Drosophila melanogaster: one gene and its partner. The protein of the gene in region 2 interacts with the protein of the main gene of each other region in a pairwise test. Each region holds a gene or a part of one and is shown on either strand. Other genes may lie near its edges.

Evidence for each region.
Region 1: the proteins of CG11269 (region 2) and CG12290 interact in a two-hybrid assay, tested with the Drosophila melanogaster proteins (one large-scale study listed by BioGRID).

Annotation. Positions count from the first base shown.
Region 1 is NT_033777.3:26,228,574-26,235,200, forward strand, and holds CG12290 (uncharacterized protein), read left to right. Parts: upstream 1-1,674; 5' UTR 1,675-2,131; coding exon 2,132-4,528; 3' UTR 4,529-6,127; downstream 6,128-6,627.
Region 2 is NT_033778.4:22,136,089-22,140,572, reverse strand, and holds CG11269 (uncharacterized protein), read right to left. Parts: upstream 1,679-4,484; 5' UTR 1,632-1,678; coding exon 1,308-1,631; 3' UTR 1,278-1,307; downstream 1-1,277. Other genes in the region: gom (gomdanji), read right to left, coding at 1-311, 380-425.

The sequences.
Region 1 (6,627 bases), on a different chromosome or scaffold from region 2:
CGTGACGATTCTTGGGGCAAATTAGCAATTAAACGCGCCATCTTTATCGGCAATCATTCATTTCGCATCTTCTGGCATTTTCACGACTCGTTTGCGGGCATCGCAGCTATTAATAAATATATATCTCCTGGCGTAAGTAGGGCATGCAAACGCCGCTCAGACCTGACACAAAAAAAAAAAATGGCCCAGAAGAAAATTGCTTTTCTGTTGATTTTTCACAGTCTCCGGTCGCGTGTTCACAGAAAAAATATTCGGCTGGTGTGTTCCATAGAACTGTAACGGTAATGAAATGCACTGCTAAAAATAAAGTCATCGTGCGCTATACGCCTTACGATATTATTGAGAACTTTCATGGAAATATAGATAAATAATAGTGGAATTTAAAATACACATTCAACATGGCATATTTTATTGCATATTTTCCAAGAAAATATCTCAAACAAAAAAAAAAAAAAAAAACCAAAAACTTTCCTTGTGGCATTGACTTTTGGCTCGATGCCCCAAACTTTTTATGACTACTGGGAACCGAGTAGAATTTGCGATGAGCTCATTAGAGTCGATTCTCCGGTCATGTTGTAAGCGCCTGATCGTCGTCCGATCTGTGTACCGACTTCATGGGATAATGCGTAGTTATAAAAAGACAGTTAACTATAATCAAGAGCCTTCATGTGAAGCGGGCGTGTAGGGCTGAGTGGGTGTGGTTCCAATGCGATTTAAGGTAATTGACTATAAGTACCCATGACGAACTTCTGGACAGTTCCCCAGTGGAAAAAAAAAACTGGATTTATTTCTTATCGCAAAACTTGCGATAACCAATTTGTATATGTTCATTCAGGGAGCGTGCCGATTTTTTAGTTTGCGAAATTGAGTTGTTATGTTTTCTGAGTCATTGTCGAGCGGGTTTTGGTAGCCGGGGATTAAATCTGCTGTATCATCTTGGTCCAGCGTTTATTTCTATTTGCTTTTAATTTCACAATCAAAACAGCAATAATAAAACCGTGCCTTATCTTACGGACATATCTCCCCAAGCGTCGTCTCGCTCTAATTTGGATTTTTCCTCTCTCTCTCGCTCTTTTCTTGCAGCTGGCGCCCGACGGTGGGAATTTCATCAGCTGTTGTTGTTGTTCATTTCACAGCAGCAGTCGGCCTAATAAAAATGCAATTTTTATGGTTAAGAAAATAGTGCGCGAACGCCGTTGTGTTGCACATTGGAAATTGTGCAGAAGCCAGAAGAAAATGTGTCTTGGAAAATGGAAAAGCACGAGCAGCAGTAGCACCAGCAGCAGCTATAACATTGAGCCAGTGATGTAATACAGAGCAAAAGTGAAGCGGCGGCAATTGGCATTGCAAAAAAGAAACAGATTATACAATTTGTGTTGCTGCCGCACTGAACTAGGACAACAGCAGCAACAACAGCAGCAGCAACAACAACCACTAGTGATAAAGACCGGCTGGCAACAGTGCAGCGGCCACTTGCAGCAACATAATTTCAAAGTCGGAGCGTGGGAATCGCAAATCACGGCAGTGGCAGCAACAACAGCAACTGCAGCAACACTCGAGCACTCGTGGCTCTCCGGATCGCTCATTTCGCTCGCCGTTCTCGCGCTGGCGTTTCTCCGTTTCGCTCGCACCCGCCTGTGGAGCAGTCGCGTATATTTGGAGGCGTTGGGGCGAACGCTCACGACAGTTGTGCTTGGAACGCTTCGGAGTGAAGATCGTGCTCGTCCGATCGGTGCGCGTGATAAATACACGGCGAACAAAATTGAGTCAAGAGTCAGACGGTCGCAAGACAATTGACAAGACACGAAAAATCATAATAAACACAAGTGGAAAAGCAACTGCTTGAGAGCAAAAAAGAAATTGTTTTTTACAAATCTCGCACGTAAATTAGCAAGCGTTCGCAAGAAACAAACCGCATACAATACTGAACACAAAAAAAAGGGTATTCAACAAAAAACCAAAAATATTTGGCTGCAAATGTGAAGAGACGAGAGACAGCGGATATACTACCGAGTGAAATTTGTGTCATAAGCAGAGCCAAAACAAAACCGAAAAGCCAAATTCAATAAAAGGCCATAAGTGACTGTGAAACTGTAAAGTGATGTGTGGTAATCGAAAAACAGCATAAAGAATGGCCATAGACCTCCTGATCCTGGCCCTGCTGCTCGTCTCGTTCCTGATCAACCTGCTGGCGCTGTGTGCCTTTTGGATAACGCCTGGCTTGAGGACCACCGCCAATCGCTTTACGATCAACCTGCTGGCCATCAATCTCATTGGTTGCTGCATCTTGGCCCCCACTTTGTTCCTGGGACTGCCGGGAAAGTCTGCGGAGGCATCCACTTCCAACGCCGAGACCCTGGAGTTCTTCTCGAAGCCGGGAAACCATCAGGTGATACTTCGTCGCAATGGCCAGCTGGTGGAACAGGACGGCGTGGTGGTGCGAAGGAACATCAGCGAAAACGGCGATACGGTGGAGACCTTCTTCAAGTGCAATGCCACCTACTGTCGCGAGTTGACCATCGATGAGCGCGGAGATGGTGGCTTTGTCATCACGGAAACCGAGACACACGAAGAGAATCTCTCGGCCTTTGAGAGCTTACCCACGGAGGCTCCCATTTTGCCGCCCGTCCAACTGAGATGTTGGTCCATAGACATGACTGCTGCGCTGGGAGCTCTGGCAGTACTGCTCGTGGTGGGGGACACCTGGTGTGCCGTTACGGATCCCCTGCGCTACCACAGTCGCATTTCGGGCGTGAAAACCTGGATCTTCATAGCACTCACCTGGGTGGTGGGCATACTCTTTGGAGCCCTTTCCGCCTTCCGAGTTTTGGACTTTGAGGCGGACGCCCTGTTCAGCAGACAACGCCGCCTGGCAGTCACGTACTTCAACATCAGCAGCACCAATAGTATTTTCGGAGTGGTGTACGCCAGTGTCTACTTCATCGTGATCATCCTCCTGCCCTTCGGCTTCGTGTGCGGAATGTACTGGAGGATATTCAGTGAGGCGCGCGGAAATGGGCTGCGCATGCGCCAGAATGGCTCTTCGCCGCTGCTGCAGAGCGCCTTGAATCTGACGGCTGGCCAGCAGGCGGCTCAAGCCAACCAGTTCTCCAATAGCTTGTGTGTTCATCGGCATTCCATATCCTCGGCCAGTTCGCATGGCGGCAACAGCAGCTTGGGCTTGGGCGGTCTGCAAATGCAAATTGATCAGCGCCAACAGCCGAGGAGTTCGCCCAGTTGTCTCCGTCGGGACTCGGCCGCGAAAGTACTTTTGCCCACCATCTCGGATGATGGTGGCTCAGATGCGGAAAGTGGAGCCGGAGTTCAACTGATGCCCGTACAGGAGCACTCACTGTCAGATAGAAATCAGAACATTATGCTTACTCTGCAAACAGCCAGTGGTGAAATAAAGAGGAACTACTCCGCCAGACAGCTGCCCCTGTTGGGCACTTCTTCGCAGGATCTGAGGGAGACTAATCGTCTGCAGGGCATACGCCAGGTGCACAGTTCGCCCAATCTCCACAAGTACACGGAACTGCGCCAGGACTCGCTCAGTGAGGAGTGTGGTTCTCCGCATCTTTTGGGTCACGCCCAGCGGCAGCAGCAGCAGCAATTGCACCTGCAACATCAGCAGCAACAGCATCATCACCACCAGCAACATCATCCGCACTTCAGTTCGCCGCGCCACCAGCAACACGGCCACGCCCTCCAGATACCCGCCATTCATGCCTCCCCCAAGGCTCTGAGTTACATGAGCTCCTTGCGACACCGTTTGAGCAACGCCAGTTCGCTATTCAAATACCGTGAGGAGTCGAGAGCAGCCCGCATCAGCATCCTGGTGGTGGTGATGTTTGTGGTCTCGTACCTGCCCTTCGGACTGCTGGTACTCCTGCAATCGCGACTGTCGGCTGCTAACTTTGGCGGATCCTCCCAGCTGGCCATCTTCATGATCCTGCTGGCCAATCTCAGTTCGCCATTCATCTTCGCCTACAGGAACAAGAGGGTGAGGCGAGGAGTCAAGCGGCTGTTTGGTCTGGATTCGTCGTCGGGCCTGCAGCGCAACTGCAGCAGCAGTGTAAAGACCAATGGCACCGCAGGTCCTGCTGCAAGTGGTGCACAATTGCAGCGCAACAGCAGCAAGTTGTCGCAGTACAGCAGCAACAGCTGCAAGTATCTCACCCCCCAGAGTTCCCTGGTCAGTCAAGTGCCGGTGCATACGACCTTGACGTTAAGGCCCAACAGCAGCTGCAGCACCATCATCAATTTCGGTGGCGCCAGGGGCTCAGCGGACTCCGATGAGCAGCCACCGGCAACACCACCACCTACTGTGGCAGTTGCTCCACCGCCCACACGACCGCAGCGCCCCAAGCTGCAGAGGGGCATCACCATCGTTGAGCACATAGCTATAACACCAACCATGCCCCAAAAGTTCCAGAATCGGCGCGCCAGGCTCTTCGACATGTTCTTCCGCAGCTCCAAGAAACTGCAGGCGGGCTGCCAGAGCCAGAGTTTGCCCACTGAGGTCTAAACGGGGGGTTATGATAACTATACATATAGGAAGGTAAACAAACACTAAACTTGCTTGCTGAAGAATTCTAAGAACAGTATTCGTAATTTGTAAGTCTAGCAATTAACAAAGACAACTGTTTGAATTTGAGTTTTAAGACCAGATCATGCTGTCCTAGAAGCTTCTCATGCCAAAAAACAAAACCACAAAGAAAGTCAAACTAGAAAGTTTGAGATGCTTTAAATTAACAAAAAAAGAAAAGAAAAAAACAAAAAACAAAACAAAGTACCTTTTAAAAAATAGAAAACTGTGTACAAGTCAAATTAACAAAGATTGAGAGTGATGGGAGTTATAATCTTAGGGTGGATATCAAACTGAAAAGTGGAACCAAGCCAAGCCAAGTTGAGATCGTAATCAATGTACCTAAGCAACTTGCATATGAACATTTAATGTTTTTACTCAGATGAAATCACAGGAAAATAGCAAAGACAGCACAGCTTATTCGAACTTCCCCAACTAGTTTATTATTTATTGAAACAATTGTAAATATTTATTAGACATCCACGCCGCAAAGCTTTAACTCCAAAAACATTCTGGCTAAACAAGAAGAGACGCATACATTCGATTCATAAGTTAATTAAGTCAATGTGCAAAGCATATGTGTATTCTAGAGTTTAAGTTGTAGAGCCGAGTAGTCTTACACCGAGCACCTAGTGCCGAGCAGTGCTTTTTCACCTGCCCAACTGGAGCGTCTGTTGCAGGCGGCATTTTCATATTGAAAATGCATTTTGGCCAGTGCACAGTTGGTTTTCCAGTTGGCCAGAATGTCAGTCAGCAGTTAGTTAGCCTTTGGTTAGCCAACGGCTATTGGGCCATTAAGTCAATTTGCTTTTTAGAACACCGCGGGCATTGCGTGCAGCTAAATACCTCATTAGTTATAATTTGAAGTGCGAGATGGATGGCGGCAATAGGTCAAAGGTCGGAGCCATCGGCACGGCCCATGCATAATGCATGGAAAATGTTCGATTGCCCCTGGCATTTGTATCATTTGCTTTACTATGCTGCAGGCCAGAAAGCTTTATACCTTAAGTTCTCCTGCTTTGATTTCCCTTGGCTGCACAAAAAGGCAACAAAAGCAACACACACTCACACAACACAAAAAAACCTCGAATTTATATTTCTAAAGTTTATATTTTATAAAGAGTGTGTGCATAGGAAATATCTATAAATATTCATGCATGTGTGTCGGACAAAGGAAATATTTCAAAACCAATTATTGTGATGTTGAGCAAGGGGGCAACCAAGAATGTAATTTCGAAATGCATTAAAAATAACTTAAAACATGTATTAATAGTTATAATATATACAAGCTTATGTGTGTATACATACTTTACTAAATAGTGATATTTTTTCAAATTTATTCAACTGTCATTCGCTAAACCATTCGATGTAAGCGCAAAAAGCAAATGTAAAACCAAACCAAGTTCAATGTGACAAATTAGCTTTTAATCCGAAAAGAAAAGCAACTATTGGTGGTTGATGCAAGTCAAATCCGGTATATTCCAGCCAAGCTGCTAATAAATTCGAAAACGAAAACACAACCAAACCATACCAAACCACAAAAAGAGCAAGAAACTATTCAAATAAAAGATTATGTGTCTTAAAAGAATTAATTATCTTGACTTTTTCACTGGGGGCAGTTCAATTGGGGGATTGAAGGCGATTCTAACATACCCACGCTGATCTCCACATCTGCAGCTCCAGAGGTTGGTCCAAAAAGTTCTGGGCTCGCACTAATTAATAGAGACCCCAGCGATTCGAGTGAATTTATCGATCCAACCATCCAACCTGCTCTCAACTTTGCCGACAAGAGCTCTAGAACACGAACAAACACTTAACCAGACGGAGGGGCGCACGAGTTCAGCATTTCATTCAGTATTTCAGCACTCGTTTGCCCGCCACCCATACCCGTATTAATTGATTCATAAACCGAAAAGAAACAGCACGATATATATTAAACTCTTTATTATTTCAATTTTGTATGATTGTGACATACGCGTGTTTCATTTCAAAATTTAAACGAATTGTACACGTAGAGAAATATTATTGTTATTTTTATT
Region 2 (4,484 bases):
CAATGTTCCCCCTGCTGCCAGGATACCGGAGACAAGGATAAGGTTATAGCGGCTGTTCTTGGCTGACCAGGCTTTCATAAAGTCGCCTTCCGGCTTTGGGCAATCACTGAGCACCGCGTGCTGACCACCGCTGGCAAAGTAGCCCGGCTTCCGCTTCATATTCTTGTCGCCTCCAGGACATTTGGGTGGCGGCTTGGTGGACGGGGGTGGCGGTGGAGTGGCCTTGACCGCCTTAGCTGACCCAGGAGGCGTGGCCTTAGCGGCCATTCGCTGAGAAACCGTATTATGAATCAACATCTGGCCAAAGCGCACTGGGGATTCAGGAAGGTTTTATTCTACTTTGAAGCGAAAAACTTCTGGACATAATTCTTTCACTCACATCCCCTCTGGAGACGCTCTTTGGTAGCTATCAAAAATCGGGACATGGTACTTGCTCTTCACTTCCCTTCTCTGTGGGAAGAGACCTTTGATTTTCTTAGCCAAGTGTTTGCCTAGCAAAATATAAAATTTTTTTCGCGTCACAAACTTAAAAATCTCAATTTGATGTCAATATCAAATGTTTCTGAATTGAACCACTTTTCTACGAGTGTGTTTCATAGATTCGTAAAAAATACGATTCTACATCTGCATAAGAAATTGTACGGTCTCTCGGGTGGCACAATTATATAGAAGACCATCCATGGAGGAAATTTAGAATATTTCCCAGGTATTGCCAGATCTCCAAATCAGTTAACCCGAGTTCCCGAAAAAATGAGTAAATGCAGTGAACCAGTTTTCAGCAGACTGCACTTGGTTGGTGGTGATAACAAGCCAGATACACAAGCGTACAACTAGAAAATCGTGTACGATAATTTACACAACGGTTTTCGTGTAAGACACAAAAGCTCGGTCGATAAGAACAAGATACATAACCCCGGTGTAGACTAGACTACGGTATAGAGGTGAAAGGGGGGGGAATAGCCAGAACTGGGAACCCACACCCCATTCCCATTAGCATGTTTCGGAAAGAGAATTTCACGGAAATTTATGATGCCCAAAAGAGAACACACCTCGGTGAAGGTGTCACGTGCGCTGTCAAAAATCGGTTGGTCCGAGACGAATGCATAATGCGGAGTGGACAACAGTCAGCCAGACTTGAAATCGAAAAGTGGCTTGGCGATAAAGAAGTTAAGGCTAATCGCAGAATGCGGTCAACAAACTGGTTCTTTCGATCTTTCGAACCAACAAGTGGGTGGACGTCGCTGAGTGGGTGAAATGCAATTGGAACCATGAAAATAAATTGTTTATTCAATAACCAATCATACAAATCAACGACGGAATCGCAAGTGACCGGGACCCCGCTTGTAGAGTCGCTTCCTTCTCTTGTTATCCCGACGAATGGCCACTATCGCAATGAAGACGAATCCCAGATAGAAAACGGCGGCTACAAAGCACCGTGTGGACACGTCCTGGTAGGCCTCGTCCGCCTGCTCCTTGAAGGCCTCCTGACTGGGGAAGTGGTGGGGCAAGGGCAGGGACTCCAGGAGCATCAGTGACTGGACGTAGAAGAAGATACCCAGCAGATTCAGCATCAAGAAGCCCCAGGCGCTCATGAACAGGCAGAACAGACAGCACTTGCGACCACAAAACATTTTCAAGCTCGATTCAATTCTATGCGAACTTTGTGCGACAGTGTAGTCGAGTGTTGCTCTGACCGCAACAGGTGCCAAGTTTAAGCCGACTTCGAAAGCGAAACCGAATCCGAAATCGAAATCGGAATGTATTGGACCACATACTATTCATCCATCTATCTACATACGCTCGTACACAAGTACAACCTTGTGCGATTTCAGCGGCATTAGATCAGAGTGGTCGGAATATGGAGTTCACGTACCCGTGCCTCTCGCTTTCGGCGGCGTTGCGATTGGGTTTGTTCAACTCGAAATGGCTTAGATTCGGATTTGATCTTAGCCAATGATGGACAACTGACAGATATATCATTTGCACACATACATATGAGTATGATATAGAAGCAGCTCAACTTATTAACACTTGAAAAGCACGTCAAAAAAACGATGTATACAATATACTTCAGAACATCAAGCTTATGCAGAACGAAGACCTGCAATATATTTGATATTTCAAATCAGTGGCTGCATTTAGTTCTGCGTATTTATATATCAGAAGTGATTTTTAGAGAACTGAATGTAGGCCATGCCAACCAAGTAGCTGATTCATTAAAGGGCAGCCTCTGATTTGAATTCCCCTTGTGAATCATGCTCAAGAAATTGCAATAAAAATAGCCAACTAAATAAGTTTAAGCAATAATTAGCACAACTTACCGTGAGTGGTTGATGTTCTCGATAAATCCGCAGAGCAACAAAATTTTTGCCACACTTGCAAAGAAGAAGCAGCAGAAGAATTCACAATAAAGTTTTTACTAGTTTCTTGAAACTCCGTTACAAAACATCAAGTTGTTGTGAAAATTCGTAAGTCGTTTTCGCGGTTGCTAAACCTTTTTTACACTCTGTTGTTTTACTAACGTTTCCTTTATTATGTTTGTTTATGCGAATTGTCGTTAGTTTTATGGGTTACTAGACACGATTAGAGAGAAATCAAAAATTAGGAAAATTAAACAGAATTGATAAAATATTTTTTACTTATTGCACCACGTGTTGCAACTTGAGACATAATAGGTGTCAGCTCTAATTGAGTAAATATGTTTTGCTGGTAACTTAAGCTGCGGATTTCGTACAGCCACAGAAAATGGGGGTCAAGTCCATTAGGTTAAAACCCGATCCCCAAGCGAAAGACCTTGACATTAGGGCGGTTGCTCACTGAACTTGGTAATATCTTAAGTGTCTCGAATTCCCTTTGCGCAAATCAATCAACTTGTCTTATGAGAGCACGAAGAAAAATGAAAATAAGATCACTACATTTTTATTTAAATGATATTTCATAGCTTATTGATATATTTCTAATGAGTATTAACCTAAAGTTTGATCTTATATTTCAAGAGACGGATGTCAAAATATTATTCTTCGCTGATTATTTTCTCAGTGTGGGATTTCAGTTACAGTTATATGGTTGTTATTTGCCTTATTTGCTTAGCACATTCTTCTTTACAATCACACAGACACTTGCTTTGATTTGTGTATTCGTTTTTGTTGTAAGCGCAATTATCAGTACAAACATTTATAATAAAAAAAATTGCAATTTCAACAAAAAAAAGTGTTTAGCTTTCAGTTTAACTTTTAGCTTGAATTTGTTAATGTCTTCACTGAATTTTATTTGTGCTTTATGAAAATATAATGTACACACTGATAAGAGAATAATTCATTTTATGCTATAATAATTCACTTTATATATTTATTGTTTCTCTCACGTTTGTGATTCGCTTTGGGCATTTGTTGTTAAATCGGTTTGTTTCGCACTTTGGGACACTTCTCGATATTTAAACATAACATGTTTTTACGAATTCGCTTCTCGAAAACCGGTATGCAAATCCAAAAATCACCGCAATATATTCAAAACTATTTAATTGTATTTATCGAATTCTTCGTGCACCTTCACTTCGAGTTCTCGACTCCGATGCGACCGCCGCGCTACGAAAACAAAGATTGAACACGAGTTGCCTTGCGATGTGGCTTAAATAGTTTGCCTCTCTCGCTCGCGTCGCTCAACGAGAGATGAGAACGAGTCTCTCCAAAACACAAATTTTAAGAGAAGAGCACCAAAGCATAAAATCTGAAAAGAGAAAGGTAAAATTTTAAGCTCTTGTTATACCTCTTTCTTTCACTAATTGCATTTTTATTTTTAACTTATTTATAATTAGAATTAACATATAATTAATAATATATTAATAATTATTATTATAATTTATTGTTTAATATAATTGTAATGATTATAATTATAAACAATAAGTAAGAACTTAAATTTTTTTTTCTTTTTTTCATCCTTCATCAGATAAAGTAACTTTTTTTTAATTTTCTTAGTTATTACCATTCTCTTTAAATATTATTTCTCGTTCTACGATAATTATTTCAATTATGATTTAAATTGCATGCATTATGAGTGCACTTAGTAATCAAGTAGTACAGTAAGTAAATGCACTGACCAAGTGCCTTAATCGAGTCAGTCACTCAATTTGCTTCGCTTAATGTCATAGGTAAAGGTAAGCGGGCATGTGAAGGACAACTACTACCCACTGGCGCACCACCCACTGGAAAACCACCCACTTGAAAAACGCCCACCCATTGTTTCGGGTGGATACTTCTGAATGCAGTCCGTTTGGCATTCAAATTTAGTGCAAAAGGGCAAAGTGTTTTCACTCTTATCTTTCAATGTCAGTAGAAAAACTTTACAATGTACATACGGCAGCAAAACGAAAATAGAACTAGAAATCAATAAATTAAGATTATATTTTCCATATATAAATGCAATCACTTAATCTATAGTAATTTGCCAAATCAAACATGAACAAAATAAGGCGCATCAAAGATACA